Callithrix jacchus: one gene and its partner. The protein of the gene in region 1 interacts with the protein of each later gene in a biochemical or structural test. Links are inferred from orthologs where the notes say so. Each region holds a gene or a part of one and is shown in the gene's direction. Other genes may lie near its edges.

Region 1 (4,509 bases):
GGATCAAGTAGATCTATCTATTCCTGAGTGTGCTTAGAAGCACTGAGAGGCAGCTGTGTGTGTGGAATGGAAGTCATTGCTGTGAACGTAACCAAAAATTTAACAGCAGAGAGCTTTCAGGGTATGCGTTAGCTTTTCCTGTATTTCAATAGCCCCTTGAGATATTCGAAAAGAAAGAGAAATAGAGACAGAGGTGAAGAGAGGGAGAAATTTGATGAGGAAATAAATGGTTAAAAATAAAGTCAAAACTGAGCATGAAAGTGAGGTTACTAAAACCAAGATAAGAGTCGTCCACAGAAACAACCTGTGCTTTGGGAGGAATCCTCACGGCGGGGGTGATCTGCTCCAGAAAAGAACTGATCAAAGGAAATGGTTGGTGTTCGGCAAGGTTTTTACTAAAGCCCAGCCTCCCTCTAGTGGGCAGACAGAGCAGGACAATATCCTTACAGGGTGTGTGCTCTTCGGGGTTAAATGTCCTTTGGAATCAAGATTGTTCCTGTTTTCTTTTTTCTTGTTTCTTGTTTCCTTTTCTCTCTTTCCTTTTTTCTTTCTTTCTTTTTCTTTGCTTTTTTCTAAGTGTTTCTTATCTCCTCATCTTGAAGGTTGGATTCTCTTTATCGCTAAAGATGGGAGTTCTGTAGTGCTCCAGAGGTGAGGACAATTATGCTTAAGATGCTTTTGTTTCAGTTTAGTCCTAGACCCAGAGAAAAACATTTCAAATTTTTAAAGTAAATCCTTAGAAGTGTAATTTACACCAGAGCAATTGACCCGGCATTTATGTAGACTGCATCTTGAGAAGCAATACAAATGCTTTTCATTCATTCCCTTGGAAAAGTCCTTAGAATATACTTCCATTGGTCTGAAAACCACCTGAAAAAGAGTTCTGATACTAACCCTAGGGGAAATAGGGGGGCTGAGGGTTCACGATCAGCCCAGTGGTATCCTCTGTTCTATCTGCATGTAGGTAAAGAGACCATGGCTGTATGTGATCAAACAATTTGTTGAAGCGCTTTGGGCCTAGGGCATTTAATTACTGTGATGTAGGCCCACCACTTATTTGCTCTGTTTTTGTGTCACGTCTCAGAATACATTAAAGTAGGGGCAACCCCTGAACCCTGTGAAGAAGCCCCTTTGAACATCCTGACAATCACAGACACCACATAAGTGATCCGCTAATTAAAGAGAGGAGGTGGAGCTGTCCTTTATGTATCCAATAAGAACACATCGTCTAACTTAAGCATGAAAAAAGATCACTGTCATTACTTTTAGGAAGGAAAATAAGCAGGATATCACATATTTTTAGAACCATTCCTCACCAAATGGAATAATTTCAGTGATAAAGTGGGAGTGAGGAAGGAAGAAAAAAAAACCCTTCTAATAATAATGTTTGGAAATAAGAAAGAAAGAGGAAACGCATGTCAAAGCCCACTTTCTCCTGCAGGTGTAAAATAAAGGGTTAAGACTGTTTCCTGCTGAAATTTTGGGGAGGAAAATGGAAGCTGGCGTGTGGGCTTTGCCGGCAGCCCAGCGCTCCCTCGCGGCGCGGCCGCGGCTTGGTTCAGCACCTCGGAAAGCGCCTCTCCCGGCGCCACGGGATTACGCATGCTCCTTGAGGTTCGCCGCCGCGGCCGTGCAAGTGCCACTGCAACTGGTGGGCGCCGCTGGCAACCCACCCGGAGTTGACAACCGCGGAGAGATGCAGACACCCACTGACCTCCGGGCAGCAGAGCGAGGTGGACAGAACCCTAGGATCTCTTTCTTTCCAAGGACGGAAACCTCGTCTAAGCAGTCCCAGAGGAAACAGCCAAAGGTATTTGAAAGAGAGCGAGCGGCCCCAAATCGCACGGTTAAGCGGCTGGGTGAGTTATGCGCCAGTGCCTCAGTGACCGTGGGACACGGAGAGGGGAAGTCTGCGTTGTATATAAGAATCTAGGGACTCCAAGCTTGGCCTGAGAACCCTTGGATGCCCAGTACTTGCCTTTGGGACTGCGCTCCTCAACTCTGCTCCAAAGCAACCGCGGAGCTCAACTTCTGAGTCCAAGGCGGTTGGTTCGCTGTGCGCCAGGACTCGCTGAGTACCCAGTTCCTGAGCTCTATCTTCAGCAGCTACTTTGAAAGCTCCCGCGCACGCCCCGCAGGCTAGCTAGACTGGGAACAAAACAGGGCGAACCGTGTTCTCTTAGGTCTTGTCCTCCGGAACATGACCTAGAGGTACCTGCGCATGCAGATGGTCGATGCAGCCCCGATAGCCACCATGAATAAGGCAGGAGGCGGGGACAGGCTAGCAGAACTCGTCAGTCTGGTCCCGGACCTTCTGGAGGCGGCCAACACGAGTGGTAACGCGTCGGTACAGCTTGGGGACTTGTGGTGGGAGCTGGGGCTGGAGTTGCCGGACGGCGCGGCGCCAGGACATCCCCCTGGCAGCGGCGGGGCAGAGAGTTCGGACACCGAGGCCCGGGTGCGGATCCTCATCAGCGTGGTGTACTGGGTGGTGTGCGCCCTGGGGTTGGCGGGCAACCTGCTGGTCCTCTACCTGATGAAGAGCAAGCAGGGCTGGCGCAAATCCTCTATCAACCTCTTCGTCACCAACCTGGCACTGACGGACTTTCAATTTGTGCTCACCCTGCCTTTCTGGGCGGTGGAGAACGCACTTGACTTCAAATGGCCCTTTGGCAAGGCCATGTGTAAGATCGTGTCCATGGTGACGTCCATGAATATGTACGCCAGCGTCTTCTTTCTCACTGCCATGAGTATGGCGCGCTACCACTCTGTGGCCTCGGCTCTAAAGAGCCACCGGACCCGAGGACACGGCCGGGGCGACTGCTGCGGCCGGAGCCTGGGGAACAGCTGCTGCGTCTCCGCCAAGGCGCTGTGCCTGTGGATCTGGGCTTCGTCCGCGCTGGCCTCTCTGCCCAGTGCCATTTTCTCCACCACGGTCAAGGTGATGGGCGAAGAGCTGTGCCTGGTGCGCTTCCCCGACAAGTTGCTGGGCCGCGATAGGCAGTTCTGGCTGGGCCTCTACCATTCGCAAAAGGTGTTGCTGGGGTTCGTGCTGCCGCTGGCTATCATTAGCTTGTGCTACCTGCTGCTGGTGCGCTTCATCTCCGACCGCCGCGTGGCGGGTACTGAAAGAGGGACCGCAGTAGCTGGCGGAGGCCCGGCCGGAGCCAGTGCTCGGAGACGGTCGAAAGTCACGAAGTCAGTGACCTTCGTTGTCCTGTCCTTCTTCCTGTGTTGGCTGCCCAACCAGGCGCTCACCACCTGGAGCATCCTCATCAAGTTCAACGCCGTGCCCTTCAGCCAGGAGTATTTCCTGTGCCAGGTATACGCGTTCCCTGTGAGCGTGTGCCTGGCGCACTCCAACAGCTGCCTCAACCCCATCCTCTACTGCCTTGTGCGCCGCGAGTTCCGCAAAGCGCTCAAGAGCCTGCTGTGGCGAATCGCGTCTCCTTCACTCACCAGCATGCGCCCCTTCACTGCCACTACCAAGCCGGAACCCGAGGATCAGGGGCTGCAGGCTTTGGCGCCGCTCCACGTGGCCGCGGAACCGGAACTGCTCTACTACCCCCCTGGCGTCGTGGTCTACAGCGGGAGCCGCTGCGACCTGCTGCCCAGCAGCTCTGCCTACTGAGGTCCAGGGCGCGCTGTAGGGGCAAGGTGGCCTTCCCCACGCGGTGAAGGAGGTGAACAGATTAAGGAAGGCTGCGTGGGGGAGGGGGGACATTCAAGAAGTAGGTGAGAGGAGGATGAGCAGCCTGTGTATAGGCCGGAGAACCTTTCCTGGAGAGGGCATGCTTTGAAATCAGGTGGAGAGAGGAAGCTGGCAAAGGGGCAGAGACGAGCCCCACGGGCCGGACCTTCAACCTCGGTTCCACACCCCACAGCCTCTCCTTACTTTGCCCACGCTGGGCAGTGTGGGGTCGCCCAGAAGCAGAGAGAAGCAGCAAAAATGTAAAGAAATTGGCACAGGGAGCGGAGCTTAATCAAATGATGCGCAGACAATTGTGCCCGTTTATTCCAGCGACTTCTGCGGCAAACTCTCCTTTGCTACTTGGTTAACTAGACTGCAGCAGCGCTAAGGTTCTGCTTGCTGCCGGGCTGCCCCAGGAATATTGAGTTTGGAGGCAAGAAACGTTTTTGAAGTTAAGAAAAAGAACTAACCCTTATGGTCCGTCCCCAGGACAAATGGCAAAGGAAAGTCACCTCCCATGGAGCCATTGTACCGATTGTCATTCCGGACGGGGCTAGCATGGAGTCATTGTATCGATTGTCATTCCGGACTGGGCTAGCAGGAACGTGCTAAGCCAGATCTAGCTGCAAAGCCCGGGAGCGCAAACGTTAACAGGGGATAACACCTGTCACGAACTTGGGAGAGCGATTCTCTGGGGAGTGGCATCACTGCCGGAGGGAGCGGACACAGTGTGATTAGAAGGGCTAAATAGGGAAACTTCTTCAGGCTGCTGCCCCGAAAGGTAAAAGGAGGCTCATATGCTCAATCAGTAGCAGAGT
Region 2 (4,449 bases), on another chromosome or scaffold:
CTTTCAGCGCCTCCATTTCCTCATTCTTAATATGGGAATCATCTTAGTCCTGATTTCATAACCCCGTGCTCTTAAAAGTGTGGTTTCTGGGCTGGACGAGGTGTCCCAGGCTGGAGTGCAGTGGCACGATCTCAGCTCACTGTAACCTCTGCCTCCCGGGTTCAAGTGATTCTCCTGCCTCAGCCTCCCGAGTAGCTGGGATTACAGACACGAGCGACCGCACCCGGCCAGAAATGCAGATTCTTAGATATGTTCCAAACCTGTTGAGTCCAGCACGCTTCAAGTAGGACACAAAGATCTGTGTTTTTTTGGTTGTTTTTGACACAGAGTCTCAGTTTGTCACCCAGGCTGAAGTGCAGTGGCACCATCTCAGCTCACTGCAATCTCCATCTCCTAAATTGAAGCAATTCTTGTGCCTCAGCTTCCCGAAGAGCTGAGACTACAGACACAAACATGAGACACACACCTGGCTCATTTTTTGTATTTTTAGTAGAGATGGGGGCAGGTTCACCATGTTGGCCAGGCTGGTCTCGAACTCCTGACCTCAGATGATTTGCCTGCCTCGGCCTCCCAAAGCTGGGATTACAGGTGTGAGCCACTATGCCCGGCCTGATCGCCATTTTAACAAGCCCACCTGAAGGTTCTGAAGCTCACTCACATTTGAGAACCATTGCCTTGGGTTGTTGGGAGAATTAAAGACATTACACAGATATAAAATGCTTTGAACATCTGGGCATGGTGGCTCACATCTGTAATCCCAGCACTGTGGGAGGCCGAGGCAGGCAGATCACCCGAAGTCAAGAGTTTGAGACCAGCCTGGCCAATATGATGAAACCCCATCTCTACTAAAAATACAGAAATTAACCAGGTGTGTGGTAGGTTCCTATAATCCCAGCTACTTGGGAGTCTGAGGCAGGAGAATTGCTTGAACCTGGGAGGCAGAGGTTGCAGTGAGCTGAGATCATGCCATTGGGACTGTTATCTCGCCTGGGTGACGGAGCGAGACTCTGTTTCAAAAACAAATAGGCTGGGTGCGGTAGCTCATGCCTGGAATCCCCGTACTTGGGAGGCCGAAGCAGTCAGATCCAGAGGTCAGGAGTTCGAGACCAGCCTGGCCAGCATGGTGAAACCTCATGTCTACTAAAAATACAAAAAATTAGCTGGGTGTGGTGGCACACGCCTGTAATCCCAGCTACTGGGGAGGGTGAGACAGGAGAATCGTTTGAACCTGGGAGGTGGAGGTTGCAGTGAGCCGAGCCCGCGCCATTGTACTCCAGCCTGGGAGACAGAGCGAGACTCTGTCTCAAAAATAAATAAATAAATAAAATGCTCAGAGCAGTGTGCCTGGCCCCGCAGCACATCCATTCACTGTTATTGTTGTTATTATTCCCTTTGAAGAGGTCCAGGATTCTAACGTTGCGGGCGTCTGTTTGTGTTTTCCTACCCGGCCCATTGGGATTATGCGTTTCTGGTCTCTGCAGAATCAAAGCCTTCTAGCCTCTCTGTCGATGATGATGACAGTGAGCTGGGCCACGTCACCCTGTCCCTTGAGAAAGGTTATCACTTCGTTGGGGACATGAGAAAGGTCGGGTTGGGGGGGCTGTGCCTGTCTCCCCTCTGCTGGGAAAGATAAGGGAGGCACTCAGCTTTCATCAGGCAGTGTTGGGGGGAGCCACGATGTATAAATGGGGGGCCAGGAGGCAGTGGAGACACTGGCCCACTCTTGAATCCAAGGCGTCTCTGTCCATCCAGCATGGCCAGGTACAGGCTGCTGCTGCTCCTGGCGATGTGGGTGCTGACCGGGGAGTTGTGGCCGGGGACCGAGGCCCGGGCAGCACCTTATGGAGTGAAACTCTGCGGCCGAGAGTTCATCCGAGCAGTCATCTTCACCTGTGGGGGCTCCCGGTGGAGGCGATCGGACATCCTGGCCCGGAAAGCTATGGGTGAGGCTGGGGGAAAAGAGGATGTAGGCGGGGAACGGGTGCCCGGATGGGTCCCAGGAGCTAAGGACCGAGATGAGAGGAGGTTGCTGGAGGAGGAGGGTCCCCGCCCTGCCACATCCAGCTAGGGACACCTGCCCAGCCTTGAAACAACGGCTCAGGAGTTAGCAGAGCTGCAGAGCTGGGATGGGGGGTTGCAAGCCATGCATGAGGGCTGTAAGTCGGAGGACGGTCTACTCCTTTCTGAGCACCTGCTATTTGCCAACCAAGCCCTGTGCAAAGCAAAGCTGCTGCCTGTATGCTCCAGAGGTGAGAGTGGGGAGAGCGCCATTCACAAGGACAACGCTCAACCCTTTCCAGCAGGTCATGTGAAGCGTGTGGTACACACATAGCCGGATTTTGCCACCTAATGCGTGACCCTCCCCACAAGTTGGTTTTTCCTCCCATCTCCGAGGGTCTTTTTTTTTTTGAGATGTGATCTCACTCTATTGCCCAGGCTGGAATGCAGTGACCCAATCACTGCTCACTGTAGCCTCAACCTCTCAGGCTCAAGAGATCCTCCTGCCGTAGCCTCCAGAGTAGTGAAGACCACAGGCACCTGACACCACACCTGGATCATTTTTAGAATTTTTTTTTTTTTTTTTTTTTTGTAGAAACAGGGGTCTCAAGGTGGGGCGCAGTGACTCATACCTGTAATCCTAGCACTTTGAGAGGCCGAGGCGGGTGGATCACAAGGTGAAAAGATTGAGACTATCCTGGCCAACATGGTGAAACCTTGTCTCTACTAAACATACAAACATTAGCTGGGCATGGTGGCGGGCACCTGTAGTCCCAGCTACTCAAGAGGCTGAGGCAGGAGAATCCTTTGAACCCGGGAGGCAGAGGTTGCAGTGAGCCGAGATCATGCCACTGCACTCCAACCTGGTGACAGAGCAAGACTCTGTCTCAAAAAGAAAATAAAAGAAAAAGAAAAAAAAAGAAACAGGGGGGTCTCACTATGTGGCCTAGGCTGGTCTCGAACTCCTGGGCGCTAGTGATTGTTCCACCTTGGCCTCCCTAAGTGCTGAGATTAGAGTCTCTGAGTGTATCCTTGAATGGGAGACACAGTTCCTGAACCTTGCAGGATTGAGTGGATGACTACGTCAGAGCAGATTAGGGCAGAGTCTAAGCAGGGTAGAGGCACAGTCTGGGAGGTATCAGGAGAGCCGGGAGAAGAGGAGACCTAGCTTCATGAGGGGCAGGAGCCTGGCAAATCAATAGCTATTCATGACGGTGAGGAGGGTAGGAAAGAGCGTGGACCTAGCAGACACACCACTTGGATTTGGATAGTAGCTTTACAACATAATAGCTATGTGTTCCTGTGCAATTTTTTTTTTTTTTGAGACAGAGTCTCACTCTGTCATCCAGGCTGGAGTGCAGTGGTGCGATCTCAGCTCACTATAACCCCCATTTCCTGGGTTCACGCGATTCTCGTGCTTCAGCCTCCCAAGTAGCTTGGATTACAGGCTTGTGCCACCACACCTCGATAATTTTTGTATTTTTAGTAGAGATGGTGTTTTACCATGTTGGCCAGGCTGGTCTCGAACTCCTGACCTCAGGTGATCCATCCACCTCAGCCTCCCAAAGTGCTGTGATTACAGGCATGAGCCACTGTACCTGGTCATGCAAATTCTTTACTAAGTCCTGCCTTCATGGTCTCCTCTGGAAAATCGGAGTGATAATAACTGCACCCACCTCATCTGGTTTCATTGAGAGGAATAAAGAAATTAACGTGCCGAAGCACTTAAAATGTTGTTTGACACACAGTAAGTGCTCAATACATTGTAATTATCTTTTTTTTTTTTTAGACAGAGCCTTGCTCTGTTGCCCAGGCTGGAGTCCAGTGGCGTGATCACAGCTCACTGCAGCCTCACAGCCTCCACCTCTTGGGCTCAAGCAATTCTCCTGCCTCAGCCTCCTGAGTACCTGGGACTACAGGCTTGCACCACCATGTCCAACTTTTTATTATTTGTAGAGACAGGGTAGTGCTGTGTTGCCCCGGCTGTTCTTGAACTCTTGGCTCTAGTGATTCCCCTGCCTGGGGCCCTGAAGTGCTGGGATTACAAGTGTGAGCCACTGTGCCTGGCCTAAAGAATCATTTTTGAGTGCTTGTCATGCCTCATTGTTCTAAGTTTTAAAAAAAATCGATATTAACTCATTTACTCCTTATAAAGCTTGAGAAGTTTGGAGTAATTATTTTTTTCCACTTTGCAAAAAAGAAAACTGAGGCTCCAAGAAGTAAATTCACTTCCTAAGATTGTGGCTTGGAGAGGCTGGATTCATGCTCGGCCAGCCCAGCTCCCAAATGTACCAGGTCCTCAATTAACAAAGAGTAAGGGAGGCCGGGCGCAGTGGCTCACACCTGTAATCCCAGCACTTTGGGAGGCTGAGGCAGGTGGATAACTGGAGGTCAGGAGTTTGAGACCAGCCTGGCCAACATGGTGAACCCTGTCTCTACTAAAAATACAAA

What was found.
Region 2: the proteins of RXFP3 (region 1) and RLN3 form a complex in vitro, tested with the Homo sapiens proteins (2 studies listed by BioGRID, with this or other methods). The link is inferred for Callithrix jacchus from reciprocal best matches to the Homo sapiens genes RXFP3 and RLN3.

What each region holds. Positions count from the first base shown.
Region 1 is NC_133503.1:171,375,776-171,380,284, reverse strand, and holds the start of RXFP3 (relaxin-3 receptor 1), read left to right. Parts: upstream 1-1,611; 5' UTR 1,612-2,221; coding exon 2,222-3,631; 3' UTR 3,632-4,509. UniProt on the Homo sapiens protein: Receptor for RNL3/relaxin-3. Binding of the ligand inhibit cAMP accumulation.
Region 2 is NC_133523.1:12,808,158-12,812,606, forward strand, and holds the start of RLN3 (relaxin-3), read left to right. Parts: upstream 1-1,586; 5' UTR 1,587-1,753; coding exon 1,754-1,943; intron 1,944-4,449. UniProt on the Homo sapiens protein: May play a role in neuropeptide signaling processes. Ligand for LGR7, RXFP3 and RXFP4.